Linked DNA regions of Mus musculus: all the other regions are reported to be linked to region 1. The links are microRNA targets in miRTarBase. Many come from high-throughput screens and were not tested one by one. Region 1 holds a microRNA gene; each other region holds the end of a gene's coding sequence.

Region 1 (8,262 bases):
TGTGTACGTGTATATGTCTATAGGTAAGTGTGCTTGTACATGTGGGTATATGTATATGCATATATATACACATATATGGACACATACATGTGTACACAAATACACATGGCAATCATCCATTTGATTTATATGTGCTTAGAGTTTTATAGAGTGCATATTCATGGGACAGGAAACATCTCATTAATCAGATGCAAACCATTTGCCAGAGTCAGGAGGATCTGGAGTTCAAATTCATGTTTAACTTCATGATGAGTTAGAAATCGTACTGGATTTATGTGATGGACCCTAGGTATGTGCATGTGTGTGTAACTTTGTGTGAATGTACATGTATGCATATAATTATACATATACATACACATGCATGCACACATACAGACTTGAATACTCACACACATAAGTATGACTCTCATTGATCAATTTGAATGATATATGTCATTGAATTTTATTGATTATGAAGTAGAAGGACACTGAATGGTCTCACTCAACAGGTGTAAAAAATTGACAGTGTCAAGAGGATCAGGTGTTTAATTTCATGCTTAACTTCATGAAAGAGTGGTGCAATGTGATGGTCCCTATGTATGTGCCTGTGTGCATAAGTGTGAGCATGTATATGTGTGTATATTTTATGCATATACATACACACACCTATATACACATGCACACAGACATGCGGGAATGGCCCTCACGGATCCATTTGAATGATATGTGACCTACTGCTTTGGAGGTTATGTATGACTGGGCCAGAGTGAGGTCTCACAAACCACGGGAAAACCCTTGGTAGAGTCGGGAAGATCAGGAGTGCAAGTTCATGGTAAAGGCATGATGAGTTAGAGGTCATCCTGGCATTCATGTGATTGCCCCTATGTATGTGTATATGTGTTTATGTGTGTGTACATGTACATGTGTGAATATGATGATATATACATACACGCACACATAAGACACATATGAGCACACAGACACACAGGAATGGCACTCACTCATCGATCTATGTGACTGTGAGCTTTGGAGATTATGTATGACTAGATCAGGGAGAGTTATCACCCATCATATTAAAAATGCTTGTTTAAATCAGGAGGTCAGGAGGTCAAATTCATGCTTTATTTCATGATGACTTAGAGATCTGCCTGGGAATCATGTGATGCCCCCATGTATGTGTATATGTGTGTAACTGTGTGTGGATTTGTGTACATGAATATACATACCTACACACACGTAGACCCATACACAGACACACATATGAATGCCACTCCTCAGTCCATTTGAATGATATGTGACTTAGAGTTTTAAGATTCCTCAGTACTGAATAGGGAGAGGTCTCACTCAGCAGGTGAAATCCCTTGCCAGAGTCAGGTGGATCAGGAGTTCAAATTTGTGCTGAATTTCATGATGAGTTGGAAATCAGCACGGGATTCATGTGATGCCCACCAAGAATGTGCATGTGTGTATAGTTGTGTGCATATTCATTTCTCTATATGAATATGCATATGCACACATGCACACACATTCATAGGAATGGCCAGAGTTATTTCTTAGGTAGGAGGTGAATAATCTTGCTAGAGTCAGGAGAATATGGTGTTCAAGTTTATGTTTAACTTCATGATGCATTAGAGATCAGCATGTGTTTCATTGATGCACACCAAAATGTGCATGTGTGTGTAGTTGTGTGCATATTCACTTCTCTATGTGAATATGCATATACACACATGCAGACACAGGAATGGCACTCATATATCCTTTGGAATGGTATGTGACTCAGAGCTTTAGAGCTTATGCAGTGCTGGGCCAGAGCTATGTCTCAGTTAGGAGGTGGATGCTCTTGCCAGCGTCAGGAGGTCCCAGAGTTCAAATTCATGTTTAACTTCCTGATGAGTTACAGATCAGCCTGTTATTCATGTGATTGTTTCTGTGTATGTGTATAGATAAGTTTGTCTGTACATGCGGATATATGAAAAGACATATATTGACACATATTCACACATGCATGCATACAGAAACACATGGCAGTCATCCATAAGTTTTATATGTGCTTAGAATTTCATAGAGTGTATATTTATGGTACAGTGAAATATCTCGCCAACTAGATGAAAACCGCTTGCCAGAATCAGAAGTCTTGGAGTTCAGAATCATGCTTAACTTAATGATCAGTTAGTGATCATCCTGGATTCGTGTGATGGACCCTAGGTATGTACATGCACACATAATTTTGTGTGCATGTACATGTGTGTATATGATTATACATAACACACACACACACACACACACGTATAAAAGCAAGCACACACACACCAAGGTATGGCATTCATCGATCCATTTGAATGATATATGTCTTAGAATGTTACTGATTATGCAGTAGAAGGACAGTGAATGGTCTCACTCACAAGGTGTAAACAATTGGCATTGTCAGGAGGATCAGGAGTTCAATTTCATGCTTAACTTCATGAGCAGTTAGAGATCATCCTGGAATAATGTGATGGCCCCTATGTATGTGCCTGTGTGCATAAGTGCGCGCATGTATATGCGTGTATATTTTATGCATATACATACACACACCTACACACACATGCACACAGACATGCGGGAATGGCCCTCACGGATCCATTTGAATGATATGTGACCTACTGCTTTGGAGGTTATGTATGACTGGGCCAGGGTGAGGTCTCACAAACCACGGGAAAACCCTTGGTAGAGTCGGGAAGATCAGGAGTGCAAGTTCATGGTAAAGGCATGATGAGTTAGAGGTCATCCTGGCATTCATGTGATTGCCCCTATGTATGTGTATATGTGTTTATGTGTGTGTACATGTACATATGTGAATATGATATCCATATACATACACGCACACATAAGACACATATGAGCACACAGGCACACAGGAATGGCACTCACTCATTGATCTATGTGACTGTGAGCTTTGGAGATTATGTGTGACTAGGTCAGGGAGAGTTATCACCCATCATGTTAAAAATGCTTGTTAGAATCAGGAGGTCAGGAGTTCAAATTCATGCTTTATTTCATGATGACTTAGAGATCTGCCTGGGAATCATGTGATGTCCCCATGTATGTGTATATGTGTGTAACTGTGTGTGGATTGTGTATATGAATATACATACCTACACACACATAGACCCATCCACAGACACAGACACACACACGCATGCCACTCCTCAGTCCATTTGAATGATATGTGACTTAGAGTTTTAGAGATTCTGCAGTACTCAATAGGGAGAGGTCTCACACCACAGAGTCAGGTGGATCAAGAGTTCAAATTCATGTTTAACTTCATGATGAGTTAGAGATCAGCATGCTATTCATGTGATGACCATAAAGAATGTGCATGTGTGTATAGCTTTGTGCACATACACTTCTCTATATGAATATGCATATACACGCATGCACACACACTCACTCACAGGAATGGCCAGAGCTATGTCTCAGTTAACTTACCAGGTAAAACGCTTGCCTTTTGGATCAGCAGTTCAAATTCCTGAATAACTTCAAAATGACCTAGGGATCAGCCTGGCCTCATGGCATCCTCCCCCCATATATGTGCATGTGTGTATAGTTTTGTGTATATGTACATGTGTGTATACAAATATACATCTACATACAGACAAACATAAACACACAGGCACGCACACACACACACACACACACGCGCACACACACAGAGGAATGTCACTCATTGATCCTTTTGAATGACAGGTGACTCAGAGCTTTAGAGATTATGCAGGGCTGGGCCAGTGAGTGCTCTCACTCACAAGGTGAAAATGCTTGCTTGCCAGACTTTGGATGACCAGGAATCAAAATTCATGCTGAACTTCATGATGAGTTCGTGATCAGCTTCGGAGTCTTGTGATGACCCTAGTATATATGCCTGTGTGTATATGTATGTGTGCATGTACATGTGTGTATATGAATATACATATACATACACACATACCCATACAAACATGCATACAAACACACAAAAATTGGCACTCATCCATCTATTTGAATAATTAGTGACTTAGAGTCTTAGAGATTCTGTATGACTGGGGCTGACAGAGAGAGGTCTCAGTCACCAGGAGAAGACTTGCTAGATTCAGGGTGATCAGGAGTGCACATTCATGTTAACGGCATGATGAGTTAGAGATCAGCCTGGCATTCATGTGATGCCTCCATGTATGTGCATGTGTGTATAGTTGTGTGTGGATGTGTGTATTTGCATATAAATAACATACACACACACACACAAGTAAACACAAGTGCACAAACAGACACAGGAATGCCATTCATCGATCCATTGGAATGATAAGTGATTTAGAGTTTTAGAGATTTTGAAGTAGAGACGGTGAATTGTCTCACTCACCAGTTGTAAACGATTGAAAGAGTCAAGAGGATCTGGAGTTCCAATTCACTCCTATGTTCAGCTAGATAGCATCCTGGTATTCATGTGATATCGCCCATGTGTGTGCATGTGAGTATAGTTGTGTGTGCATGTCTGTATTTGAATATACATAACATACACACACTAATGCAAGTACACACACACACACACACACACACACACACTCACACCAATGCCACTCATCAATCCATTGGAATGATGTGTCACTTAGAGTATTAGAGATTATGCAGTACTTGGCCAGTGAGTGCTCTCAGTCTCTAGGTGAAAATGCTTGCTAGAGTTAAGAGTATTCAGGAGTTAAAACACATACTGACCTTCATGAGGATTTAGAGATCAGCCTGTGATTCATGTGATGGCCCCATGATTGTGCATGTGTATATAGTTGTGTGTGCATGTTCATGCATGTATTTGCATATACATAACATACACGTATAAACGCAAGCACACACACATAGAGACACAAGAATGGCTTTCATCGATCCCTTTGAATGATATGTCACTTAGCATATTAGAGATTATGCAGTACTTGGCCAGTGAGTGCTCTTATTCTCTAGGTGAAAATGCTTGCTAGAGTTAAGAGTATCAGGAGTTTAAATTCATGCTTATCCTCATGAGAGATCAGCCTGAGATTCCTCCATGTATGTGCATGTGTGTATAGTTGTGTGTGCATGTTCATGTCTATATTTGAATATACATAACATACACACACACGTATAAACGCAAGCACACACACAGACACAGGAATGGCATTCATTGACCCATTTAAATGATATGCCACTCAGAGTAGTAGAGATTATTCAGTATGGGGCAAGTGAGTGCTCTCATTCTCTAGGTGAAAATGCTTACTATAGTTAGGAGTATCAGAAGTTCAAATTTATGCTTATCTTCAGCATGATTTAGAGATAAGCCTGTGATTCATGTGATGCCTTAAGTGTACATGCAGGTTTGTATAGTTGTGTGTGTATGTTCATGTGTCTATATGGATATACATAACATATACATAGACATATAAACCCTAGCGTGCACACACACACACACACACACACACACACACACACACACACACACACGAATAACATTCATAGATCCATTTATATGATATGCCACCTAGAATATTAGAAATTATTCAGTACTGGGCCAGTGAGTGCTGTCATTTTCTAGGTAAAAATGCTTGCTAGAATCAGGAGTATCAGGAGTTCAAATTCATGCTTATCTTCAGGAGGATATAGATATCTGCCTGTGATTCATGTGATTGCCACCCATGTATGTGCATGGGTGTATAGTTTTGTGTACATGTGCATGTGTGTATATGAATAGACATAACATGCACATACATATAAACACAAGCACACACACACACAGAGACACAGGAATGACACTCATCGATCCATCTGAATGATAGGTGACTTAGAGTTTTAGAGATTATGCAGTAGTGGGACAGTGAATGGTCTCAATCACCAGGTGTAAACCACAGAGTCAGGAGGATCAGGAGTTCAAATCCATGCTTAATTTCAGTTGGAGATCATCCTGGTATTTCTGTGATGCTACCCATGTATGTGCATGTGTGCTTACTTGTATGTGCATGTGCATGTGTTGATATGAATATACATAACATAAACACACGTGTATATGCAGGCACACACACACAGAAGAAATTGCATTCGTCGTTACGTTTGAATGATATATGACTTAGAGCTTTAAGAGTATGTATTACTGGGCCAATGAAACGTCTTACTTACCAGTAAAAATGTTTGTTATATTCAGATGGATCAGGGGTCCAAATTCATGAGTAATTTCAAAATGACATAGAGATCAGCCTGACTTCACGGGGTTCCCCCCAATGTATGTTTATGTGTGTATAGTTTATGTGCATGTGCATGTGTGCATATGCATATACATATACATCCATACAAACATATAGAAGTAGCACAGATACACAGACACACACACACACACCCATCAATCATTTTGAATGACAGGTGACTTAGAGTTTTAGAAATTATGCTGTGCTGGGCCAGTGAGTGCTCTTAGTCAAAAGGTAAAAATGCTTGCCAGAGTCAGGAGGATGAGCAGTCAAAATTCATTCTCAACTTCATGATGAGTCTGGGATCAACTTCGGATTCATGTGATGCCCCCAATCTATTTGCTTGTGTGTATATGTATGTGTGCATGAACATGTGTATATGAATATACATATACATACACACATACCCATACAAACATGCATACAAACACACAGAAAATGGATACTCATTGTTCTATTGAATGATATGTGTCTTAGAGTCTTAGAGATTCTGTATGACTGGGCCAGGGAGAGGTCACACTCACCATGTGACGCCCCTTGCCAGAGTCAGGGTGATCAGGAGTGCAAATTCATGTTAACTGCGTGATGAGGTAGAGATCAGCCTGTCATTCATGTGATGGCCCCTGTGTATGTGCATGTGTGTTTGTGTGTGCGTACATGTACATGTGTGTATATGAATATACATATACATACACGCACACATAGATACGCACGCACACACACACACAGGGATGGCACTCATCAATCCATTTGAATGATAAGTGACTTAGAGTGAAAATGCTTACTAGAGTTAAGAGTATCAGGAGTTCAAATTCATACTTATCCTCATGAGAATTTAGAGATCAGCCTGTGATTTATGTGATTCCTCCATGTATGTGCATGTGTGTATAGTTGTGTGTGCATGTTCATGTCTATATTTGAATATACATAACATACACACACACGTATAAACGCAAGCACACATACACAGATACAGGAATGGCATTCGCCAATCCCTTTGAATGATAAGTCATGTAGAGTTTTAGAGATTATGCAATAGGGGACATTGAATGGTCTCACCCACCAGGTGTAAAAGATTGACAAAGTCAGGAGGATAAAGATTTCAAATTCATGCTTAATTCAGTTAGAGATCATCCTGGTATTCATGTGATGCCACCCATGTATGTGCATGTGTGTTTACTTGTATGTGCATGTGCATGTGTTGACATGAATATACATAACATAAACACATGTGTATATGCAAGCACACACACACACACACAGAGAAAAAATTGCATTCATTTATATGTTTGAAAGATATGTGACTTAGAGCTTTAGCAATTATGTAGTACTTGGCCAATGAAACTTCTTACTTACCAGTAAAATGTTTTTCATATTCAGATGGATCAGGAGTTCAAATTCATGAGTAACTTCAAAATGGTGTACAGATCAGCCTGGCTTCATGGGATCCTCCCCAATGTATGTGCATGTGTGTATAGTTTTGTGTGCATGTGCATGTGTGTATATGAATAGACATATACATCCACACAAACATATACAAGCAAGCACAGATACACACACAGGAATGGCACTCATCGATCCATTTGAATGATAGGTGACTTAGAGTTTTAGAGACTGCAGTAGTGGGACAGTGAATGGTCTCAGTCACCAGCTGTAAATGATTGACAAAGTCTGGAGAATCAGGATTTCAAATTCATGATTAACTTCAGTTAGAGATTATCCTGGTATTCCTGTGATGCCACCCATGTATGTGCATGTGTGTTTACATGTGTGTGCGTGTACATCTGTGTAAATGAATATATATATATATATATATATATACATATATATATATATATATATATATATATATATATATATATAACATAAACATACATGTATATGGACACACGTATGCACACATACACACAAGGAATGGAATTCATTGATATGTTTGAATGATATGTGATTTTGAGCTTTAAAGGTTATGTAGTACTGGTCAAATGAAAGTTTTTCTCACTATGTAAAAGCTTGCCATATTCAGAGGGGTCAGGAATTCATATTCATAAATAAATTCAAAAGAGAGTAG
Region 2 (8,262 bases), not on the chromosome of region 1:
GCTTGCCCTGTCTCAGAGTTAAAAAGGTTGAGGCTATAGTTTTATGTCGCCTAGCTGACAGGCCACCCAGATTCCAGCCCAGGCACCAACAAAAACACAAGTTCCCTCATAAATCATGTGTTTGAGCAATCTTGGCTGTGTGAGCATTATGTGGTTTCTTGGAGTTCCTTTGGTTTTTATTTATTTTAATGTTTTGAGATAGAGTCTTGGCGGGTAGCTCAGACCTTGCCCCCAGGTGCCAGGATTGCAGCACCATTGTAATTCACCACTGTATGTAGCTTATGTTTAAGGTACGTACAATTTTTCTTAACGATGAAGCAGTTGGTACTTAAATAAGCATAATTTGCCTAATTATCAAGACAAGAATTTGATGATAGAGGTTTTTTAATGCCTGGATTCTTCATTCAAAGCTGAGCTATCTTTTAAACAAGTTAGCACATGCTTCATATCCAGAATACATTTAAGGGCCCACTGAGTTTTTTGTATTTACTTTAAAATCAGGAATAATAATATATGTTTCAGTATATACACTTTTTCAGCATTATATTACATTATACTATATTGTGTGTTGAATGTAGTGGTTTTTAAAGTCAGGACAAGACATAAGGACAGGGAAGTAAGGCTGCATGGCATTCTGCTCTTCTGGCTGCTTTCTTCCAGTATCATTCATAGTCCTTATTCACATTTTCTTTACTTATGGTGTGATGATGTCATGGGTGCTTCGACTTCCACCTGACTACTGTTCTTACTGAAGCACAACTTCACAAAATGCACAAGTCCTCAGTGTATGTCCATGACTTAAAAAAAGTAATTTTTTGAGAACGGCATCATAACATTTGTGTTTCTAAGTTTCAAGCAGCTCCTAAAATATTGTCAGGTGCTAAGCTGATCTAATCTTAAGTATTTGTCTTTATGGTGCATAAAACATGCAAATAGAGCTAAATATTGTCTAGGTTCTTACAAACAAATATTACCTGTAGCTGCTTCAAGGCTTAATTTCATTTATTCAAGAGAAACCTTGCTCCCCACAGCTCGCTGCATCCTGTTTCTCATCATCTGGCTGATAACTGGAGGAAGGCACCACTTTTGGTTCCTGCCAAACCTGACTGCTGACGTGGGCTTCATTGACTCCTTCAGGCCCCTGTACACACATGAGTACAAAGGACCAAAAGCAGACTTAAAGAAGGATGAGAAATCTGAAACCAAAAAGCAGCAGAAGTCCGACAGTGAGGAAAAGTCAGACAGTGAGAAAAAGGAGGATGAGGAAGGGAAAGGAGCTCCGGCAGACCATGGACCAGAAGGCTCGGGCGGAGAGCGGCACTCAGACACGGACAGTGACAGGCGGGAAGACGACCGCTCGCAACACAGTAGCGGGAACGGGAATGATTTTGAAATGATCACGAAGGAGGAGCTGGAGCAGCAGACAGATGGGGATTGTGATGAGGAGGATGACGACAAAGATGGAGAGGTGCCTAAATCTGCACATGAGAAATCATAATCTGACTAGCTGGGGGACTAAATAAGTACAGCAGGTTGGGTTTTCTGTGTTGGCCGATCATCATGATGTACAGATGGCATTTGTAGCATTCTTTAAATCCATTTTCTGAAATGTATTTGACATTCAGTTACAGTCAGCCTTTTGTTTTGTAGAACGTTGGTACTGTTATTGGTACAGTTTAAAGCCATTAATAAGTTTTATCCATCTGATAATTTTACAGTAAGTAGGCCTCATTTTGATAGTCATCAGAGGTACATTGTCCACAATGACACTTAGAATAAGGGCATTTTTGATAGTTGTATGGCTTTTTACTGTTAGACTAATGGAAATTGCTAAAGAAACTGCAGCATTTCAGATTATGCATAAGTATATAGCCACTTGGCAGTTTCTTTAGGATCAAATGCTTAAACTCATTGTTCTTGCTAGTTATGCTCTTTTTGGGTTTTTAGGTTTGTTTGGTTTTTTGTTTTGTTTTCATAAACTTATACCAGAAAAATTCCTTTTTTAAGGTTTTTGAGTTAGCAGGGATCAAGAGCATTTTGTGGAAACAAGCCAGCTAGTAACAGTGCAGCAACCCTTTTAATTCAGCTACAGATTCTCCTTTTCCAGCTTAGGAAATCCCAACTGACCTGTGCGTTCAATCCAGAGAAAGGCGGTCATCTCCAGCAGAAGTGAGGAGCGCTGACTGGACGGCGAGGCTCTTCCTTCCTCCCCATCTCCTTGTCATAACATAAGATGTATTCTGTACATAATTTACAAATAAAACATTTTATTTTAATTGTTACTTATTATTTAGACATTTCTCAACACTGAAATTTGTAAAACAAAAACCATGTAAGGTATGTTTTTAGAAAGTTTCAGTAACCCACAGAACATCTGATCTTTCTACAGCAGCTTCAGTTGTGTGCCAACATTCCATGTATTTTAATATGAGTAAAAGTTATCCTTATTAAGTAAGAACAGACTTAAAGTAGTAGCTGTTTGTACGCCTTAATGTTCATTGATTTATTTTAAATCTTTACATTTAGAAATGGGGGCTATGTCATCAGACGAGGAGGCACTGCTGTGAAAGACAATTTGCTGTTCTAAAATACCAATTAAAAATAAAGGATATAAAAGAAAACACAGCAAGCCATTGGACTCTAATTGCTTCAAACTAGTTTGGCCATTTACTTTTTACACACCTTCGCTACAAACCTTCTTTAAAACGCCTGCATATACACAAGCAATCCTTGGAGCCACGTTTTACACCCCAGTGAGCAGTGAGTGATTTTCCTTTAGTCACACGGTGGTTTTGCTTTGTAGTTAGTAGGTGATGGATATATAGGTCTTCATCCTCCTTTAGGCTGTTTCTCTTCTTGTGTTTGTCCATTGTCTGTATATTGACAGCTTATGAAATACAGCTTGACTTGTTTCTTTAGTCTTCCTGTGTGGATGGAACGGTAGGTGCGGTCCTCAGAGCGCTGTGCATTGATTACAGTGCCTCGGTGTTCTTCCTTCACATTTATTTGCAGAGCCCTGCTGCCTCGTGTCCACAGTAAGGAAGAGGATAATTACAGCTTATGAGCTTGTTAGTCACAGGTAGATTAATACCTATTTAGGGTATGAAAATGGAACAAGAAACTTTGATAAAACAAAACTGCTTGTTTGACCTTTACTAGTATAGTACCCAGGCACTCAATATTTATTTGCAAGATCTTTGTAACATATGTCCTGTGTCTAGTCTAAACAATAAAGAATGCTAGCTACAAAGTCCACTTACTGATACAAGTGGATAGTAAATTTTTCATAAGTATTTGCTGATCTTTGGGGAGAGTACTCTTGTTTTCGTTAGGTATGGACTAGAAATTTCAGCTTAATTTCTATTGTATGGTTCAAGGTAAAACACTTTAAACAAGTTAAAAAATCAAAATGCTTCCTCTGTTGTAGTCTTTAGACGTCTTTGTGTCAGAGCATGGAGAATTGTTTACACTAGCCAATGGAGTAGTGACTCTTAAAAAATGATTTCCTATGCTGCTGTAAGTAGAAGCACAAAGCTTTTGGGTAATGTGGGGTTTACTATGGAGTGTATGTATGTTGGCCTATGCAGGATTGAACTAAGCAGGAACTGAGTCCAGATGGAAGAATAGTACATATGTGAATGTTCTCAAAATTAATGTGTTAAATAGGGTGCTTTTTCTTTTCCTTCCTACAGAATTCTTAAGTTTTTTAAATTATAAGTCCTTCTAGAGAATGTTAATTGATAATTTCAACGAATACTACCCAGAAAATAATAAATTTTAATATATTACACTGAAGTACGCAGTAGTGATGGATTTTGGTATTTTCTCTTTGGTTTTTTTAATCACAAATACCAATTAGATTCTACCTAGAAAGATCATGTCATTTGTAAGTTTTCTTTTTCAAAACTTTTAGAAATTGAGAAACAGTATGTACAATTGATTTTCATTGTGGTTATATTCTGTGAAGTCTCTGGAACACTGAAGTAACAAATCCTGAACCACGTCTAAGGGAAGTATTGGGCTAAGTTTCGACAAGCCTGTTACCAACATTTAATCAACCAATATGTAAACTTACTTTAGCTGTCTCTATTTAAAAAACATGTTAATATATGTTATTAATTCCTTAACAGTGACTCATGACCAATAGTAAATATAACTTCTGCCTGAGTGAAGATTTCTAGTACATATCTTCTCCATGAGTCACATCACTGCACTTGTGCCCTTGAGGAACATGAGATGGCATTTTAGCTCTACCTTTAGTGACCATTTTAAACAAAATCACAGACAAAAATGCACAAGTGTGAAAAACAGACATTCACAAACAAAAAAGCAGTGCAAGATGTAGAAGACAGCCCTGTCCAGGCACTGCCAAGATGTGTACAGTGGGCACTTGTGATTGCTGCCTAACTCTTGGCCATAAAAGTTCTGAGGGCATTTAGACGTCTCAAATATGTACTCCCAGAACTTAGAATCCAAAAATAATGAAGTCTGGCTGCACTTGTAGTCATGACATTTAATCTGTGGTACTCTTGAGTCTATATAGCCCTGACTAGCCTAGAATTCTACATAAGCCAGACTGGCCTCAAATTCAGAGATCCTCCTGCCTCTGCCCCCAGAATAGAATTGATTGACAAATCATGTTCCAGTATTGAGTAATGTTTTAAATATTTACCCAGAAATAAACAGTTCCTACTTGTATTGTTGGTAAAATGCTTTTTCTCCACTACAAGCAGTATTTCAGGTCTAGCCACTGACAGTAATACGGAGCACTTTTGTAAGTCAGGATCTGCTGAGGCACACCGTGAAGGAAAGTCCTGTCTGCCACCATGGAGCAACAGCCAGCGTGATGAGTGCTGCGCAACGGTTTGCCAGATATGCTAGGTGCCTCTTAGTCCCAGCTCCTCTGTGGTTGCTGCCCACTGACATGGGCCTGAATAGGGATAAGCAGCGGGGCTCCTGTCCATTCTGGCTTCCAGAAATCAAACGATGCTGTTTCCCATCGTCTCCACAATGAGGCTGTCCTGCTATCAAAGGCCACCACTTTCCCAAAATTTTCTTCCCCACTCTTGTGCTGGCACCCTTTGTGACAAAGGTAATGTCCTGATGTCCTGTGTGCAGTTCCTAAAGCATAGTTCTTCCTCTTTGCCTGTTCCCACACTTGACAAAAGTGCTCATGTCTTCAAAGTATTGATAGAAAGCCATCTTCTGTTGGAACTAGAGCCAGGCGACTACCTGCTTCTTAGGTCCTCAGCACTGAGTATTAGAAAGGAGCCCAGAAATTTTGAAAGCATGTCCTGTGCATTCTAGTAGTGATCTCTGCAGATGACTGCACAACGTTTCCTTTACATATTCTACCTTCAGCTGTGCAAATCTAAATAACAGTCTATGTACACTTTAACCTAATTCAGAGTGCCTTAGAAAGTTAATTATGTGGCTTTTCTACCCTGCTACATATGAAGAGTATATCTGTAAGTTTGCCATTTTAGGATTGGAGGAAGAAAATACTTTAATAGGTTTAATGTGTGTGTGTGTGTGTGTGTGTGTGTGTGTGTGTGTGTGTGTGTGTGTGTGTGTGTGTGTTTATACCAGGTGTGGGGTGCATGTGGAAGCCAGAAGCAGATCTCCAGGAGCTCAAGTTAAAGCTTAACTACCCAGTGTGGGTGCTGAACCCAGGAGCACCACTGTGTTCCCAGCCCCTGTGATCTCTGCTATCATGATGCATGATGCTCAAGGGAGAGGACATCTTTCTCACAAACCAAGTCATCATACTTTGGCCCCATTTTTATTTTAAGGAAATACCTAGACCACCATTTTTGTACCATAGACCCTATCTCTTTGATTTTTAACAGTATTGCATGTAGCCACATGTGGCAAAGTATGGGCTTTGAGTATGATTATGATCTAAGTAATTAATTTGTCAGCGTCCCATTCCAAAAGCCAATGGAACTTTATTTAGTGTAATTGAATCCTTAATATTCACACAGAGTTTTATGTGATACTAAGGGTATCTGTGGCTTGCTTATTCTATCACATGCATGAATGCCAGATCAGACGGGATCTGAGAAGGCTTCTGGGTGTATCTTGATCTGAAAGAATGAGATAGTAGTATTGTGTCAGAAACAGAGAAAATGCTTCAGATGTGTGTCTAGTTAGTATTTCTAGTGCTGAAATGACTAAAATAAAATGAAATGGGGAAGCGAAGGTTTGTTTTCTCTTACAGAAGTCTGTTACTGAGGGAAGCCAGGGAAGGAATCTGGAGGCAGGAACTATAGAGGTCATAGAGGAGTGCCGCTTCCTGGCTTTCTCTCTATGACTTGCTCAGCCTGCTCTCTCTCTCTCTCTCTCTCTCTCTCTCTCTCTCTCTCTCTCTCTCTCTCTTTCTCTCTCTGTGTGTGTGTGTGTGTGTATTTTGAGAGTATCATGACATCATTTCCCCTTCTATACCCCAGACCCTCTTCTGTATCTCTCCTTGTTCTTTTTCAAATTCTTAGCCTCTATTTTTGTTCAATTTTGTTACATAAATACATAAAAACATACATAAAACCTGCTGTCTGTATAATGTTCCTTGTATATATGATTTCAGGGCTGACCACTTGATATCGAATAACCAATTGATGTGTTCTTCCCTAGGGAAGACCAGATCTCAGCATACCTCATTGCCTGTAGTTCTTTGTGTAGACTTAAGACATTATGGACTTTCCCCATCCCGTGTTAGCATGTCTGTTCTCTTTGTTCAGTTCATGTTTAGACAGTCGTCTTTGTGAGACTTGATGGTGTAGCTTCTGACCTTACTAGGAGACACAATCTCATAGCAAACTCCTAGATCCTCCAGCTCTTACTGTCCTTCCAACCCTCTTCTGCAGTGATCCCTGAGCCTTCAGGAGTTGTGATGGAGATATATTGTCGGGATTGGGCTCCACAGTTCTGCATTTTGATTGGTTATTGTTTTCTGTAAAGATCTCTGTCACAAAGAAGTTTCTTAACTACAGCTATAAGGACAAATATTTAGAGTGCAGTTAGGTATTCTGGTCCTTTATAAAGAGGCAATTGTAGGTTCTTTTTCAGGATCCATGACTTCACTAGCCTGGGTAATTGGTTAGATTTCTGATACCAAGTATGCTTTCCCTCTTGTTGAAGGGCCTTAGTTGTTGATTACCTCCAAGATATGCCTACCACTCTGCACCTTAGGGTTATCTTGCCATCCATGCTGGTTAAAGGCTTCATGGCTAGACTGTTGGTTGCTTCTCCCCTTTGGAAGCTTGCATGGCAACTTCAGGTGCCATGAAAGTTAGTCCTCAGAGAGTGAGTATTCAGGTTGATTCCAGCTCAGGGGCCTCTGGACCCTGTGTCTGAAGTGCATGGTGTCTCAGCAATAGGCACTTACCTTCCACTTCTGGTGGGGCAACCAAGAGTGATAGAAATAACCTATAATGTTATAACCTAAAGGTATGTCTTTGAGAATAGGCTTAATGGCTGGTTGTTAATCAGGGTTGTCTTTCTTATGGGAACAGACGCTAATAGCTGGTGAATCCCAATGAACAAACATTTACATCCTAGAATCCTGAATTTTACATATCTCTAACAGGCCTGGCTAGCACACCACTTATGTTTGAGATATTTTGTAGCCAGTACTACTTAAGCTGAGTCCTACTTTATGACTTAATGTCTTTAAAGAAAATCTATTAGTAAGTCGTTTATGGCTTGAATTTTATTTGAGTTTCTTGGAAATCACACCCTCTCCTCTGTAGCAATCATACATTCCACTCTACACTCCAATCCCAAAACAAAGGTACCCCAACCAAATCTCACTTCCTCCAGGGTTCTTGAGTTCCAAGGACCCTGTAGACCTGAAGATATCAGTAGCAATGTTGCCTCCCATGAATGAAGCTAATGAAATAATCCTAGCACAAAGTAATGAGAGCCAAGAAGAGATCAGGAAGACCCAAGGCATTGAGAATGTGATCTTTGAGCCTTCAACTCCAACTTTTCCCAAAGCCAACTGGGGCTTTTCAGTCATGGAAGCCAAGGAACGCTTCATTGTTTTCATAAGCTACTTTGAAGGAAATGTCCATCTGGAACTAAAAGATGACTTGCATACACAGTAATAAGTACAAACAGTGAAAAGCACAATTAAATTTTATCTCAAACCTCACATGCTTATCCTAGAAATCTAGGTGTCTTGGAGACAATCCATCTTTTGTTTGTTTTGTTCTAATTGTAGTTTTTTGACAAGTTTCATTATCTAGGCATGACCTTTAACTA
Region 3 (8,262 bases), not on the chromosome of region 1:
CAAGAGCAACAAGTGTTATTCACCAATGAGCCATCCCTCTAGTCTTTAAATTCTTTTATAAAAAAAAATTATTGTTGGGTGATGGTGGTGCTCACCTTTAATCCCAGCACTAGAGAGGCAGAGGCAGGCAAATCTCTGTGAGTTCGAGGCCAGCCTGGTCTACAGACTGAGTTCTGAGACAGCCAGGGCTACACAGAGAAACTATGTCTTGAAAAAACAAGTTTTTATTTTATTGTATTTTAAAGTGTGTGTGTGTGTGTGTGTGTGTGTGTGTGTGTGTGTGTTTATGTGCACCAGAGTTCAGGTGCCTGTGGAGGCCCGAAGAGGGAGGATAGGTCCTCTGGAGCTGGAATTATAGGTGGTTGTGAGCTTTCTAACATAGGCTTTGGGAATCAAAGTCGGGTTCTTATGCATGCGTTTAACGGCTGGGCTTTTTCTGCAGCTCCTCATGTTAGTCTCAGGAGGTGCCCTGCTCCCTCCATGAACACGTTGGATCCTAAGAAACAGCTACGGGACAATGGGTGTGTGGCTTGGTTGATGTCTGCAGAAGCACAGCAGGAGAGAGGGTCCTGAGATACATTCCATTAAGTCACAGTGGAGACAGTGGCAGGCTGAATAATGGCCCCCAGATGTCCACTCTACAGTCCTCAGAACCTGAGAATTTCCAAATGTGACCCCAGAAGAATTTGTAGATGTGTCCAATTTAAAATTCTGGGGACAAGGAAAAGAAAAACATTAACTATATAGGTGGACCTGACGTGCCACCACCTGGGACCTTTTAGTTAAGAGAGGGTCATAAGGAAACTCCATGAAGTGGAAGGAGCTGGAGTCAGAGGAGGTGGGAATGGAAGCTTCTGGAATCTTGGAAGCAGATTCTCTCCCCTTCCTCAGATTCCCGGGGAGTGCAACCCAGCTAACATCATGGTTTAACATGGCATCGGGCTTTGAGGAACATCCGTGTTGCTTTAAGCTGGAAGGTTTGTGGGAAACGGACTTTTGGAAGGTTTCTGATCTGGATTTTCAGACCTGTGTCTCATCCGGAATGGAAAGCACACAGTTTCTTCTTGTCCTGTATCCTGCTGCCTTTTACACACACTCAGAACACCGGAGGGGAGCATTCTCTCCAGAGAGAACTCCTAAGACTCACTTTCCCAGCCTCCAGTGTGTCTATCACATGACTTGGGTCCCAGTAAGGTCCTAAGTTCCAAATGTGCATCTTGCAGAAGGGGACCCCGATGGGATCCATCTGTGAGGTGAGGGAGCATCAGAACAAGAAAAACATGACAGCAGTGACATGACCTCCCAGGGAGACAAACTGAGATATCAAAGATCAGTTGTGTTTTGGATGCTAGGGATGAAACATTTTGCATACTAGGAAAATGCTCTGCCTTTGAGCAATATCCCCAGCCCCTCACTGGGGGATTCTAGGCAGGGGCTCTACCACTGAGCCATACTTCCAGCCCTTCACTGGGGGATTCTGGGCAGGGACTCTACCACTGAGCCACACTTCCAGCCCTTCACTGGGGGATTCTAGGTAGGGGCTCCACCACTGAGCCACACCCCCAGCCCCTCACTGGGGGATTCTGGGCAGGGGCTCTACCACTGAGCCACACCCCCAGCCCCTCACTGGGGGATTCTAGGCAGGGGCTCCACCACTGAGCCACGCCCCCAGCCCCTCAGTGGGGGATTCTAGGCAGGGGCTCTACCATTGAGCTAGATTCCAAGCTATTTCTTTTGGACCCAAGCAAGTCTGCCATTCCTCACTCCCTCCTACAAGCCTTGATGGACATCACTCACCCAGTCCCTCTGGCACATTTCCACTGTACTCATTCATTCTTGCTAACATAGAGCTGTTCCTTGGTCCTCTGCATCCCGGGCCTCATTTCTGCCTTTCTTCACTGTGAGACCTTGGGTAAGCTGCTGCACCTCTCTCAGCCTCAGTTTCCTCTTCTGTGAAGTGGCTGCTGGTGCAGGGGGCATTCTGGCCAAGGTCCTGGTTCAGGACCCTCTGATCCTGGTCACCTCTCACTACTCTCTCCCCTCTCCAGACTTTCTAAGTGTGGTCTGTGCACCTTGACCCAGTTTCCAGCTCTACGCACTCCACATTGGGCTAATTAAACCCCATGCTCTCTACCCCCACACAGACCTCACCAAGTCTCTCCCAGCAAGGTCCAAGCTCAGATGTTTTCTTTTCTTACAGAAAGCTTCTCAACTGCCCTAGCAGCAGCACACACCTTTACGTACGAAGCAGAGGAAGGTGGATCTCTAAGTGTGAGACCAGCCTGTTCTACAGAGTGAGTTCCAGGACAGCCAGGACAACCCTGTATTAGAGAGAGAAGAGAGGAAAGAGGAGAGAGGAGAGAGGAGAGAGGAGAGAGGAGAGAGAGAAAGAGATAGAGAGATAGATATTCTCATGATATTCTCATGTAGTATAAGTTGGACAGGCTGTCCTTACTTACCTGCCTCCCTAGTGCTGGGATTACAAATGTGGTGGTTTGAATAGCTTTGGCCCCCATATTCTCAAGTGTTGGAATGGTTGGCTCATAGGGAGTAGCACTATTAGGAGGTGTGGCCTTATAGATGGATGTGTGGCCTTTTAGAGAAAGTGTGTCACTGTGGAGACCCAGCTTTGAGGTCTTAAATGCTCAAGCTACACCTAGTGTGAAACACATCTAGTCCCTCCTGCTGCCTGGGGATCAGGATGTAGAACTCTCAGCTCTTTCTCCAGCACCATGGCTGCCTGCACGCTGCCATGCTTTCTGCCATGATAACAGACTGAACCTCTGAAACTTCAAGCCAGCCCCAAATTAAATATTTTTTTCTTTAATTGCCTTAGCCAGGCAGTGGTAGCATGCGCCTTTAATCCCAGCACTTGGGAGGCAGAGGCAGGCAGATTTCTGAGTTCGAGGCCAGCCTGGTCTACAGAGTGAGTTCCAGGACAACCAGAGCTACACAGAGAAACCCTGTCTCGAAAAACATTAAAAAAAAAGAAAAAAAAAAGCATTGCCTTGGTCATGGTGTCTCTTCACAGCAATGAAGCCCTAAGACAAGCTCACACTACAATGACTGATTTTATGTGATGTGGGGGATTGACCCCAGGGCTTCATGCATATGAACCCAGCCCTCTACCACAGGAGATGCAGTCACAGCCCACTGTGATTTTGAGGTAAGGTCTCACTCACTCTGTAGCTCAGGCTGGCCTGAAACTCAGTCCTGCTTCTGCCTTCTGAGTTCTGGGATTGCAGGTCTGTGCTAATGGTTTCATCTTAGAGTGTCCCTGAGCCCTTCACCCAATCCGTCACGCCAGATTTTTCCTCATGAGCATGCCATCTTGGAAACTTGCCTGCCACCTGGGTTTCCCTCTGCTCTTCTGGTGTCTCCCTTGCCTTCATCTCTCTCACCCATGCACACTTTAAATGTTGGAGATACCCCGAGGCACTGTTTCTGTTCTTCCCCCGGGCAGCCTATGCCAGTCCTGGCTTGCTGACAAGTCCCAGATCCCCCTCTCCTGCAGTTTCCTTTTCTGAGGGCCACAGCACCCTAGACTTCTCTCCCCTGTTTCTTCTGCATTTGACAGCCCCCCCCCCCCCCGCCACCATGTGCTCTCCTGCTCTCTTCATTCTAGACTGACAGGCGCTGGCTTGAGCCCGTGGCTACAGGAGCTGGTGGGACCTGGAGGGTAAGATTAGTGTGCTCGCTCATCCTTTAGTGCTGCTCTCAGGCACTCCATGTGTCTGTGTTGCTCATGCTACCCCCAGCACAGCAGCTCGATGGGCCACTGCAGCCTCTGCTCATCTTGTGTCCAGGGAGGGCAGCTGCTTCCTTTGTACCCAGCCCTGTGGTGGCATGGGCACCTTCCCTGTCCCTACCCGAGTCACTTTAAGGTCTTTTCCCTAAATTCCCCCTCAGTCACCACCTCTTTCCAGCCGATAGGTCTTCCTGTGCCTTCTCACTGGCTTGATCTGTGACCTGATTTCCAACACCCAGTCCAGCCTCCACTCCTCTTCTCCTGCCTGAGTTCCTGATTTCCAACCTCTGATATCACAGGAAGTCGCTGATATCACAGGAGTCTATGAGGAATGCTTAAAATTATAAATCAGGAGCTGGAGAGACAGACGGCTTGGAGATTAAGAACATTGACCCGGCAGGGTACAGTTCCCAGTATCCATTGCGTGGCCCACGATTGCCTTGTTCTGGGTATCCAAAGCCCCCTTCTGGCCTTCGCAGACACTACACGCACATGATGAACATACGTACACAATCAAAGTACACATACACACAAAACAAAAAAATTATATAAATCAGCTGACATCATCTGCTGGCCTGCTCCTTCTAAATTTCTTCTGAAGCAGCCCTTTGCTCTTAAATCTTAAGCCTCCTTGTGTGGCTATTACCGGCTTTTACACTTGGTCCTCTGAAGGTCTCTCTGCTCCCCACTCCATGCAGGAAGCGCGTCTTTCGTTTCTGCTCATCCTTTGTCCCACTCTGAAAAAGCCACTGCCTCACACGTCTGTACACATTAACTTTGTACTCATTCCCTAGAATAATCCACCCTTATGAAAACACACACACACACACACACACACACACACACACACACACACACACACACACACACACACACACACCTCCTGTTCCATGCATGATTCTGAGAAAGTGACCTATTTTATTTAGGAAACTTCATCAACCTCAGCTCCCTCTGGCTCAGGCAAATTAGAGTCCTTCTCTTTTGCAATCCCACAATATCCTATGAAGAGGAACCATTTGTGGCTGGTGAGTGGGGTGTGGCCAGCAGAAGCTCAGGACTGTGAGGGGCGTGGCAACCAGGGCTAGGTTCTTGGTTGATGGGTGGGGCATGGTACTAGAAACCTATGGCTGCTTGGCAGGGGCGTGGCTAGTGGAGGCTCATGATTGATGGGTGGAACATCAGTACTAGAAACCAATGGCTAATGGGCAGGGGTGAAACTAGTAGATGCTCTTGGCTAATGGGTAAGGCGTGGTACCAGAAGCCTATGGCTTTTAGTTATGGTTGTGGCTGGTGGAGGCTCTGGTAACATTGAATGTGGTTAGCGTATGCTGGTGTCCTGCTGTCTGGCCAACTCTAATGCAAAGGCTGCCGGGTCTGTTTCCTGTGGTCTAGATGTCGGAGCTGCTACCATCCCTTTCCTCCTGCACCCCAACTTCCCACGGGAGGACTGTTCAGGCAGAATTTCAAAGTTTTATGGCAGTTTTTTACAGAAACCACAGAGAAGGGACATCAAGTGATGCTGATGAGCAAGGGGTGAGAAGGGCCGTGGGTAATGGGTCTGATGCACAAATGGACAAGAAAATGCAAAAATAATAACTTAGGGAAAGCAGAAGGCTGTGAGGGTGGCAGGGTCACCTAAGGTCGCAAGGAGTGGGCAGCACTCCCCGTTCCCCAAGGATGTCTTTTTTGGGGCAGGAGACATCAACAGTAAGAAAATGCAGGTGGCCTACCAACAGATGTATGGCCTGCAAAGTTAAAAATGCCCACCCAGCCCCCCTCCCACCCTCCCCTCCACCCCCGCCCCCCAACAGGCAGAGATGTGGCAGCATTTGCTGGCTTGTAGCATTGGTCCTCTGGGACCCTCGGTCTCCTCTTCGAGGGTCCTGCCCAGATTGGCTGGCACTGAGAGCAAAATAAACCTTCTAGACTAGAGTACTTTCGTTAACCCTTCTAGAATACTGTCAGGGGAGGTCAGGTGGGCTCCCTTTGAGTCTCAGTCTCATCCACTAAGCTGGTTCTCAGGCTGAGTGAGTCCTGCTGCCCTCTCAGAAGGGAAAGTCTGTCAACGCCCCTTTCCCCAAGACATGCACCCTCCCGTGTCCCCCCTCCCCAAACACACTATATACACACACAGGCTCCTCCCTCCAAGGCGTGGCTAGGCTCTCAGAGGTAGTGGAGGGTGAGTAGGGCGCTGGAATGTCAGAAGTAGTGGGTTCAAGATGTGCCTCCTCTGGCTAAGCCTGGGGGACAGATACTCCAAACGTCCCTCCTCCATCTCCAAGCCTCTGAGTGGATAAATCAGGGAAGGTGCGTGCCTTTCTCCCTGCTCCCCGCACAAACCCCTATTCCTTTCCCTGGGGACTGCAAGGGAGCTCCCTGAGGGTTGGGGTGGTTAAGGGCAGAGATGGATGGCGTCCTGGGATGGCACAGCCTCCCTCTGAGGTACCTAGGGAGATGTTCTAAGACCTGGGCGCACAGGTGGAAGTTCGTGGCTTGAGGGAGGGACACGAGAAGACAGAATCAGGCTCGGTGCCCAGAAAGACCGAGAAGTAGTGTCTGGCCAGGGGACTCGGGTTTACCTCACAAAGGATGGGCTGAAGGGGATGCAGCTGAGAAGGGAGGGCAAAGGATGGGATTCCAGGGGGAAAGGGAGGCTGATCCCAGGAAGAAGGCTGAGGAGGAAGAGCCTAGGGAGCGCCCAGGCTGAGTCTGGGTAGAGAGACTGGTGGGTCCAAGAGCAAATGCCACCAAGTCCCCACCCTCAGGGCGGTGGCTAGGGCCCTAGAAGCCCCGGATGTGGCAGTAAGCCTCCAGGCTGGAGAAGAGAATGTAGAGGAACCAGAGGCCCAGGAAGAGAGCGGTGGTGGCCAGCTTGGGTCCCCGCGGGCCGCCCAGCTCGCCGCCAATCTGCGGCCGGCGCCGGTACAACAGCACTGCGATGCACACGAAGGCGAAGACGGTGAACAGCGTGACCGAGAAGGCCAGCGTGCCTGCACGCACCTCGAAGGGGCGACCCTGCACCGCCCAGTATACCGCTGCCACCGACCAGGCCACACCCAGGCCCAGGAACACGTTCACCGCATTGGAGCCGGTCACGTTACCGATGGACGCGTCGGCACACTGGTCCTGCAGCGCGGCCACCTTGCTGGCGAACGTGTCTACAGGGACAAGACGGAGGGGGGGGGGTGCGGTGTGAGAGGCTGCGTGACGTCCCCAGACCATTGCCTACTTCCTTTGGGATCGGTCTTCATGCAGTAAGCTTCACTGTCTGTGGAACACTTCTTTGGGACTTTTGTGCAACCAGTAGGCTCCACCGCCTACTCTCAATGGCATCAAGCTTGCTTTCTGTAAAGCTGGCATTGAGCTCTCGTCTAGGGGCTCACTTTTTAACTTTGGAGGAGCTGCTGCTGCCCAGCCCTCGTCCCATCACACCCCGTAAGGAAACAGCAATGGGTCCCCACATGTGCGCTTCCTGTTGATGATGGCATTTTGTTCCAAATGTACTATCCTTCCCAAGAGGTTTGCTGGGGTCCAGACAATCATGGCCTCAGCCTCCCTACAGGACACAAGGCACTGCCCTGTTTCTGGTGCATGTTCACCATTATACTGTCTGCTCTCTACTCTCATCTGAGTCGATTTAGCCAGGGTGGTATGCATACCTGCACTCCTAGCACTTGGGAGGCTGAAGAAAGAGGATCACCATGAGTATGGGGCCAGCCTGGGCTACATAGTTGATTCCAGGGCAACCAAGACTACAAATTGAGACCCTATCTCAAAACAAAAAACAATAAACAAAACAAAACTAAAACAAAAAAAGTGTGGTGGTATATGCCTATAATCCAAACACTTGGAGGTGGAGGCAAGATGGTCAGGAGTTCGAGGCCAGGTTCTTCTATATAATGAGTTCTAGACCAGCCTGGACTACCTGAGACCCTCTATAACAAAACAAAACAAAACAAAACAAAACAAAACAAAACAAAACAAAACAAAACAAAACAAAACAAAACAAAACAAAAGGTGAGATGGCTCCCTGGGTGTAAGCATAGCATAAGGATCCTAGTTTGGATCCCAGTGTCTATATAAAAGGCTGGGCATTGAACTGGTAAGATGTCTCAGCAGGTAAAGGCACTTGCCACAAGGCATGATGACCTGAGTCTGATCCCTAAAACCCACATAGTGGAATAAGAATGCCTTGAAGCTGCTCTCTGATCTATGTCCATGCACCTCTGAGAGGGTTCCGCCATCCACCACACGAAACTATGACATCACCTGGGCAGGGCCTGTCTCTATGGAGCTCCCCACACACAACGGGTTTTGTGAGGTTTTTCAGGAACACTGAGACCATTTCCAACCCCCGAGGGGCCTCCCCTTCTTCCTAGAGAGTCTGTGACTGCTTTTTACCATTTCCTGCCACGTTAGTCCCCTGTGACCCCTTCCCTGGCCGCTCTGGGGTGGGGACAGCCAGCACACTATACCCACAGGGCCCCTCCCTGACCCTGGCATGGTTTTCTACA
Region 4 (8,262 bases), not on the chromosome of region 1:
CAAAACGCTCACAGGCATAAAATAAAATTTTTAATTAAAAAAATATCTTCTGCCGGGCGTGGTGGCGCACGCCTTTAATCCCAGCACTTGGGAGGCAGAGGCAGGTGGATTTCTGAGTTCGAGGCCAGCCTGGTCTACAAAGTGAGTTCCAGGACAGCCAGGGCTATACAGAGAAACCCTGTCTCAAAACAAACAAACAAACAAACAAAAATATCTTCTGTGAATGAGAAGAATGTGCTGCAGAAGTAGTAAAGAAAGATTTCTTCAGACGTTTTGAAAGATGGTAAAGAGGACTATTGGAGGGGAAAGAAACTGGGCTCAGCTCCCAAGTACATGAACAAGTGGAGACTTTGAGCCAGGAGCAGAATGGAAAAAAAAAATTCTAAGCTAATTTTTGTTTTGTTTTGTTTTGTTTTGTTTTGAGACAGGGTTTCTCTGTATAGCCCTGGCTATCCTGGAATCACTTTGTAGACCAGGCTGGCCTCAAACTCAGAAATCCGCCTGCCTCTGCCTTCTAAGCTAATTTCAAAGCTAGGCTAGAGTAATTCTTAGTAGACGTATACTAAGTAGGATTCTTGCTAAAGGCAGGCAGGGTAATGAGCTAGAAAGTAAAAAAAAAAGAAAGAAAGAAAAAAAAAATACCCCCTTTGAGTTAGTGTCTCCTGAGGCCAAGGAGCCTCAAATTGCTACATAGCCAAGGATGACCTCGGCAGTGCCTTCCTCCTGTCTCTGCCTCCAAGGGCTAGGATTAGGAGTATGCTCCACACCCGGCTTGCTCAGTTCCGAGGATCAAAGGCAGAGCTTTGTGCTGATCAGCAAGCACCCTGCCGGCTGAGCCACCCGCCCAGCCCAAAGTGATGAACTGGCTCCAGTACTGAAGGGGATGAAAGAGTGAGAGCTAAACAGACACTGGAGAGTTCCAGCTCACACCACAAAGCCAGGGCAGAACTCAAGGCCAAGACAAGGACTCAGAGCACTCCCACCCACATTTTGGTCCTGGTCCAAATCTAAAGAAAATCTCCTCAGAATTACAGCTACTCAGAGTACGGGGCATTTTCCACCTGAGAGGCTAAAGGATGTCAGCTGCAGCACATAGCAGGAGAGTGGAGGTGTCATGTCATGTCCTTAGCATAAAAAACCGTCAAGGTTTTCGTCTCTAGGACCTCTGGTAGAAACCCTAAGTCAGGGCTGGGGTAGACAGCTCGATTACAGGAGGAGGAGACCGTCCAGTGTACACGAAACTCTGTGATCCTCAGCACCACAGAGAAAAGAAAGCTTTGATCTGATTGTACACGGGCCATACAAAGCCAGTGTTGTGTGATTCTAACCTGCTTAAGCCTGTGTTGCTTTAACATGCACTCCCTGTGGAGTGGAGGGACAGAGTGCTCCCTCTGCTCCTCCCCTGCCGCTCCGTCGCTCTGAGGGTGGGCGAGCACTCAGTCAGGACTGTGCTTGATGGCATGTGTGCATTAGGGTAACGAAGAAGCTGGACACCTATCAGGAGTACAAGGATGCTGCGTCCGCCTACCAGGAAGCCTGGGGTGCCCTCCGCAGGATACAGCCGTTTGCGTCCTGGATCAGAAACCCACCCGACTACCACCAATTTAAATGAACTCTTGCTGGTATCAGGACCCTTCGTATCGGTCTGCCTCTCCCTTCATGCTGAACGAACCTCTGCTTTTCTGGTGGTTAAATCCCAGGAGAATGAGCTGCCTTCTCCCAGAGCGCTCGCTGCACCTCTCTGGTGTCATAAATGGACCGCAGAACCTCAGCAATCTATACTTGACTGGAGCAGCTCCGTGCTAAAATAGCCTCTCAGTAATGCTCTTGATGGCTGCCTTCAATTGTGTTTTATTGGTTCTTTAAAATACAGCATCAGATGCTTTTAAAGTAGCCTGCAGCAGCTCTGGTGTAGATCTCCTTACATTGATTCAGCAAGGACGCATTGGGCTGAAATCATCTTAGGGTGCTGGAAGCTTTATAGCCTCTCCCGGACTCATGAAAACCATGTATTTCCTGTTTGCAGCCTTCCTTTGTAACCATCATCACTTCCCAGTCCTCAGCAACTAGACATGGTTGGAGTTAGCTTTACCATCAGGCTCAGCACAGGACTAGCCTCGGAAAGCTCTGTTCTCAGACTTACCAAGAAAGGTTGGTTGGTTTGGGTTTGGGTTTGGGTTTTGGTTTTGAGACAGTCTCACTTTGAAGCCACCATCATTCCCCACCCCTCTTTCTCTTTCTCTCCTTTCCCTTTCCCCCTTCCCCTCCCCCTCCCTTCTACCTTTTGCTTGAGACCGGATCCCTCTCTCTATAGCCCAGCCTGGCCTTGAACTCAACATGAAGCCAAGGGTGACCTTGAACTCTGATCTTCCCACCTCTGCCTCTAAGTGTCACCTCAAACTTTGCTTCCTGGATTCTCTTCTGAGCAATGTCATGAGGTCCACTATAGTCTTGTAACTGCCAGTAGCCACCGTCTTTTCCTACCACACAGAGACAGCCAGCCAAGAATGAAGGCTCCAGCCTGCACAAAACCACATGAGGCAAATGCCTGGTTTGATTGTCTTTAGTGTCTTTATCTGTGTGGGCCACACTGTCGAGGTGTGTGTGTGTGGGCCACACTGTCACGGTGGGGGGGGGGGCACACTGTCACGGTGTGTGTGTGGCAGTAAGCAGCTGTATCAGCTGAGCAATCTTACCAGGTTCCTGTTCTGACTAAATTGTTTTCTTTTTAACTCAGTTCCCAAATGCCTTAATTTCCTACAACAAATCAGCAAACGACGTAGCAGCTAACCCTGTTTAACTGTCACCTAGGAGAGAGCACTCAGCTTATTCCCACCTGGAAGCAGAAGCTCTGCTTGCTACTCAATGTCACTGTGGTTTATAGTGTTTTGTTTTGTTTTGCTTTGCTTTGCTTTGCTTTGCTTTGTTTTTCCACACAGGGTTTCTCTGTGTAGCTCTGGCTATCCTGGAACTCACTTTGTAGACCGGGCTGGCCTCAAATGCAGAGATCTGCCTGCCTCTGCCTCCTGAGTGCTGAGATTAAAGTTGTGTGCCACCATGCAGTGTTCTTTTATGAGATTTTTATATTATAAAGACTTGAATTAAATGTGAAGTAGTAACATTTTTTAATTACTTATTTCACATCCTGACTGCACTTTCCCCTCCCCTCTCCTCCTAGTCCTTCCTCCCCCACCTCACCTTCCCCTACCCCCATCCACTCCTCCATTTCTCTTCAGAAAAGGGCAGGCCTCCAGTGGATATCAACCAACCATGGCCTAGCAAGTTGCAGTAAGACTAGACAAGGCAACCCAAACCCAGTAGGAAGAAAGGGTCTCAAAGAGTAATATATTTTTACTCCTAAAGTTATAATCTGTCAAGTTTACTCACACCCTTAGTCACTGGCATCTGGGTAGAAAACACTGAAGGCTAACCACTAAAGGCAACTTCCCTTGAGCTTCACTTACTGTCTCAAAGCGCTAAAGGTGGTATTTAAACATCCAACAGCCTGCATCCTAGTTTATGCTCTTAAAACCCAAGTTTACACTGGGGGGTTGGGGTGCATGCCTCTAATGCCAACACTTGGAGTTCCATGTCAGCCAAAGCTGTCTGTCAGAGACAGAGAAACCCTGTCTCATAAAGCCCCAAAAAAGAAAAGTTTAGAATTGTATGTATGCCTTAACATCACATCTCTGTAATCCTGGCAAGTGCTTGCTTGCTTGCTTGCTTGGTCTCAGACTGTGTCTTCTGAAACCTAGGCTGCCCTGGAACTCCTTATCTTCCTAAAATCCCAAGCCAGAAAGCAGCCCTCTCCATAAGTTATCCCACGTATCCTGTTTATCCTCAGTCAGGCAACATTGTCCAGTGTGAGCCTTGGGCCAAACCCATGAAGACCTCTAGAGAAAAGGTGGCTCTGATTATCATTTGACCTGTGTCCCTCCTGTGTCCTCTCTGGGCCCTGGCTGCAGCAAACCTGGTTTCTTTGGTAAAATCAGAGAATATGAGGACATTCATGCGTGTCCCCACTCCCCATCCATCCACTCCACTGGTGCCCATAGACCACCACCAGGAACAGGACGGCCAGCAGGACCCTTTGCCCCATCTCATCAGAGAAACTAGGAAGGGCCTTCCATATGGTAGGCAAATGCTCCAGCCCAACCACCAGTGCTACCCCACCCAGGGGTCTTTTTTAATTAATGTGAAGGATTTTATATTTTAAACTGTAGAAAAACTAGAAGCCCCTCAGAAATGAAGCTGCACAGGAATTGGAACAGCAACTCTAACCCATGCGTAATTCCACAAAATTGTGTCTTCAACTAAAAAAAAAAAAGGCAAATTTGGCTCTGGAGGAAAGATTACATTTACGTGTGTGCCTAAATAGGGTCTAATGTTATGACTCTGCGTGTGTGTGTGTGTGTGTGTGTGTGTGTGTGTGTGAGAGAGAGAGAGAGAGAGAGAGAGAGAGAGAGAGAGAGAGAGAGTTTTCCTCAGAATTTTCAGAACCTAATCTGATTCAGCCGTGTCTGCCACCACCTGTGTGCGCACATAGTTCTTCTTCAGGATGGAGGGATGCCACGTCAAATGCCATGCTTTATGGATTCCCCAGTGCCAGGCATGAGCTCACTGAGGAAGTTGCTGTGGAGAAGAAGGGGCTGCCCTGGTTGCCAGCTGGAGAGGTGCAGGCCCCCTGTCTGACCTGCTTGTGTCTGTGGCTGCTGGAAAGCTGCCTCCACCCAGACCTAGAACAAGGTTCCTAAGCCAGAGTTTTCCAGTTTCTAAACAACAGCCATCCTGCCACCAATAAAACCAGAACTTGTGTATCGTGTCTGTGTGTGTGTGTGTGTGTGTGTGTGTGTGTGTGTGTGTGTGTGTGTGTGTGTGTGTGTGTGTGTGTGTGTGTTTGTTCAGGAGCCCAAGCAAACCTTCCCAAAGGCACTGAGCTGGCTAACCAAAGGGAGTGGCTAGATTCAGAAAGAGCCAGGCAGGCTCCGGATGTACAGCCACACCATCCTGACTGTGCCTGAGCTCAGAGCCAGGGAGGCCGAGGTCGAGGAGAGAAAGTATTTTCTGAGCAGAATAGTTCATTGTATACCTCATTTTGCAGAATCATAGTTGCCTTGACTTTACACACAAATCTTTTTAAAAACATTAAAAAAAAAAAAAAAAAAAAAAAAAGCAAGCTAGGCAGTGTTGGTGCGTGCCTTCAATTCCAGCTGATAAAAGTTGAAGGCCAGCCTGGTCTACAGAGCTAGTTCCAGGACATTCAGGGCTACCTTCTATCCTGAGAAACAAAAGCAAAACCAAAAAACCGAAATTAAAACTAGCTGTGTCTGTAACTGAACCAGCCTGTTTCCCTGTAAAGCCATCCAAGTAGATCCCAAATGATTTTCAGGTGGTCCTGTAGCCCAAAGGACAGAGAGAAATGAGTCAGAGACGCTTCAGAGCTGGAGTAGGCAGCCTTTTTAGTCAGTATTTATTTAGACTGGGGACAGTGGGTGGGAGGCAGCACTTGGTAATGCGTGCAAGTTGCTACTTTCAGTCTCCTGCACTAGGAAAAACAAAACCACACGTTGCTTGGTTGGTAGTGTTTGTTTGTTTGGTGATGTTTTGGGAGGAGGCCCCCCGCTGGCCTCTAACTCTGTGATGTTCCCATCCTAGTTTCCCCAAACTGCTGTTACAGATGGGTGCTACCATGCCTGGCCAACAGTCAGGGTTTTACTTAGGGTATTAAATAGAGGAATGCAGATCTTGTGGAAGTTTATGAAGGTCTACAGTTTTCTGTGCTCCTTTTTTTTTTGTTGTTTTTTTAAATGTAATTATACCTCAATTTAGAATGTGTTAGAAAAAAAGTCCTTATTACTTGGAATCAGAATAAATTTGAGTACAGCCATGGATGCAAATGACATGATAGTACCAACTCTGCCACCAACAACCAGCTGTATGCTGGGAAGGCATTTAACCTTTGACTTGTGACCTCCATTCTGTTCTACAAAAGCAAGTACCAGCAACTAGGCTGCGCAAGTGTTTTCAAGTGTAGGGTAGGCTTTCTCATTTTTTTAAAAAGTTGTGTGCTGCGAATCAAACTCAGCATCTTTCCGCATGCTAAGCAAGCACTTGGCTCAGAGCTTTCCCTAGTTCCACTTTTTAGCATCTCTTAATTGGGTGGGGTGTGGCATTACATACCTTAGATTCACACATAGGAGGCAGAGGCAGGCATACCTCTGAGTTCAAGGCCAGCGTGGCCTACGGAGTTCAGTCCATCCAGAGCTAAGGAGTAATACCCTGGCTCAAAAACGGAGGCAGAAGAAACCTCTTAATTGCCTAAGTAAAGCACTGGGGAATTTTCCTCAATGTAAAGGCCTGCTGTTGAATGGAAGACACTCTGATGCTGTGACCCTCTGACCTGCCTATGGCCTCAGTTATACTAGTGATGGGGGGAGGGGAGGGGGACTTTTGTGTTAATCTAGCAGCCTGGGGACTCTGGTGTGGATTTGCTGTTTTGCCCTTATTCGGATGAGTCAGCAAGGGTTAGGAACCAACCTTTCAAATCAAGTCTGATTGGCACTGCTTTCCGGTGTCCAAGTGTGGCAGAGGCTGGGGGGTTGGGGGGCGGGGGGGAGGCAGAGGCGGAAAGTCACTCCAAGTAGGAACCCAAACTGCCAGACATTGGTCTCAAGTACACGTCCCTTGAAACTGGCCGTATTCCCAAGGGAAGAGCTCACAATGGAAACAGTGGTGGGCATCTGTCCAGGCAGCCAGGAGAATGAGATGCGCTTTGAACCCAGAGGTGTCTCGAAGGGAGGCACGGTGGGCCCCTCAGCAGTGAAACCAACCTGGCCACTGGGCGGTATCACAGAGCCCTTTCCCAGCTCTGTCTTCCGTTCAGCAGCAGGCCTTTACAGTGAGCCTGTGGGGGAACTGCTGAGGAAATGTACCCGGAGGTATCCCCGATTCTCTGGACAGCAGATGAATGCTTAGCCTTGGGTGCCGTCTGCCTCGAGTTGGGTTTCGTTGAGAAGAAAAGTGTTTCTTGAAGTCTTAGGACCCTGCTCCTTCCAGATATTTATATTCATTCCTCCTATACACAGGTTCAGCATCTTCCTGGTTTTGGTTTTATTTTTGCCTCTTGTGAGAACTGTCCTTCCCACTGGTATCTTCCTGCAGTAATAATGTTGTTCAGCTAACCACTGCTGTCAGGAATGTCTCTCTATAGAAGCTTATCAGTAACTCCTGTATTGGGAGACTGGCCAGGCAGAGGAGGAAGGGAGAGAAAAGAGCTCTGCTGGGAACATTCATATTACCTTCCAAACTCTACTTGAAAGCCCAGCTCTGCCTTGATGTCTGTCTCCTTCTGCAGTTCTTAGGTCGTGATCCTAACTCCCCATATGACAGTGGTAGCACATGACAGAATCTTTGAGGGAGATCAGGCAGAGCCCTCAGGAATGGGATTGGTGTGATGCCATAATGGTACCTGCCCTGTCCAAGGACAGCCTGGGTCATACAAGACTCTGCCTCAATAAAATCAATAAATACCTCAGAAAGATCCCCACCAGTTACAACGTAGTTAGAAGATGACCATCGAGAAACAGGGATTGTGTCTCGCTAATTAATCTGTTAATTAACCCACATATTAACTAATTAATACACATATTTAATCTGTTCTTCCTGGCTTCCAGACATATGAGGGATCAATCTGTTGTTTATGAAGCACCTCCCTTACCATAGTTTAGTATAACAACTAACCAGATTACGATAAGGGCCATAGCTGCGGGGGAGGGAGGGCTCACACCTTTAACACCAGCACTCAGGAGGCAGGAACAGGCAGATCTCTGATTTAAAGGCCAGCCTGGTCTACAGAGCAAGTTCCAGGACAGCCAGGGCTACACAGAGAAACACGGTCTCAAAAAATTAGGTAGGTAGGTAGATAGATAGCCACAGGAATTTAGTTTTTTGCTTGAAATACTTCAGAATTCTAAAACAATGGAGTATAAAATTGGTGCAAGGCTCACAAACCCAATTTTCAAGAAACCAAAACTCACGTTAAACTAGAGTGTACTTCATGCCCAAAGCAGACCCATTCTAGACCCATGCTAGATCTAAAGCATACGTACATTCCTGTGGAATATATACAAGGGCAGGCCTCCTCCCCATCTAACCTAGCAGACCCCCGGTGAGTCTGGCACTGGGTTAGAGTGGAATGTGGCCCTAGGATGTACTGGTTTAGGATCCTAGGAAGGTAATCAATCATCCTCAGAGTGTCAGAAT

The links. Region 1 holds the annotated microRNA mmu-miR-669c-3p (UACACACACACACACAAGUAAA, at 4,221-4,242, shown strand). A microRNA usually pairs through its seed, bases 2 to 8, with sites in the 3' UTR of a target mRNA and lowers its output. Matches are read on the target gene's strand: a 7mer-m8 pairs with bases 2 to 8, a 7mer-A1 pairs with bases 2 to 7 and ends in A, and an 8mer does both.
Region 2: miRTarBase lists Sec62 as a target of mmu-miR-669c-3p. The part of its 3' UTR that is shown has no 7-base or 8-base seed match.
Region 3: miRTarBase lists Slc8a2 as a target of mmu-miR-669c-3p. Seed matches in the 3' UTR shown: 7mer-m8 at 5,875-5,881 and 8mer at 5,872-5,879.
Region 4: miRTarBase lists Adat1 as a target of mmu-miR-669c-3p. Seed matches in the 3' UTR shown: 7mer-m8 at 2,600-2,606, 7mer-m8 at 2,602-2,608, 7mer-m8 at 2,604-2,610, 7mer-m8 at 2,653-2,659 and 7mer-m8 at 2,655-2,661.

Annotation. Positions count from the first base shown.
Region 1 is chr2:10,505,139-10,513,400 of GRCm38, forward strand. It overlaps Mir669c (microRNA 669c), which reads left to right and starts at 4,158; the gene lies at 4,158-4,266. The region is part of intron 10 of Sfmbt2 (Scm-like with four mbt domains 2); the gene reads left to right. It overlaps Mir467e (microRNA 467e), which reads left to right and starts at 583; the gene lies at 583-669. It overlaps Mir466p (microRNA 466p), which reads left to right and starts at 868; the gene lies at 868-956. It also overlaps Mir467d, Mir466, Mir297c, Mir669a-2, Mir297b and Mir466d, and 1 more gene.
Region 2 is chr3:30,817,469-30,825,730 of GRCm38, forward strand. It overlaps Sec62 (SEC62 homolog (S. cerevisiae)), which reads left to right. Exons shown (of 8, transcript NM_027016.2): 8 at 1,032-3,795. The coding sequence ends at 1,498. Among named protein-coding and RNA genes, the nearest start is that of Sec62, 29 kb to the left of the region's middle.
Region 3 is chr7:16,157,448-16,165,709 of GRCm38, reverse strand. Slc8a2 (solute carrier family 8 (sodium/calcium exchanger), member 2) reads right to left here. Exons shown (of 10, transcript NM_148946.3): 10 at 5,199-6,906. The coding sequence ends at 6,530. Among named protein-coding and RNA genes, the nearest start is that of Meis3, 14 kb to the left of the region's middle.
Region 4 is chr8:111,961,756-111,970,017 of GRCm38, reverse strand. It overlaps Adat1 (adenosine deaminase, tRNA-specific 1), which reads left to right. Exons shown (of 10, transcript NM_013925.5): 10 at 1,474-3,120. The coding sequence ends at 1,612. Among named protein-coding and RNA genes, the nearest start is that of Gabarapl2, 25 kb to the right of the region's middle.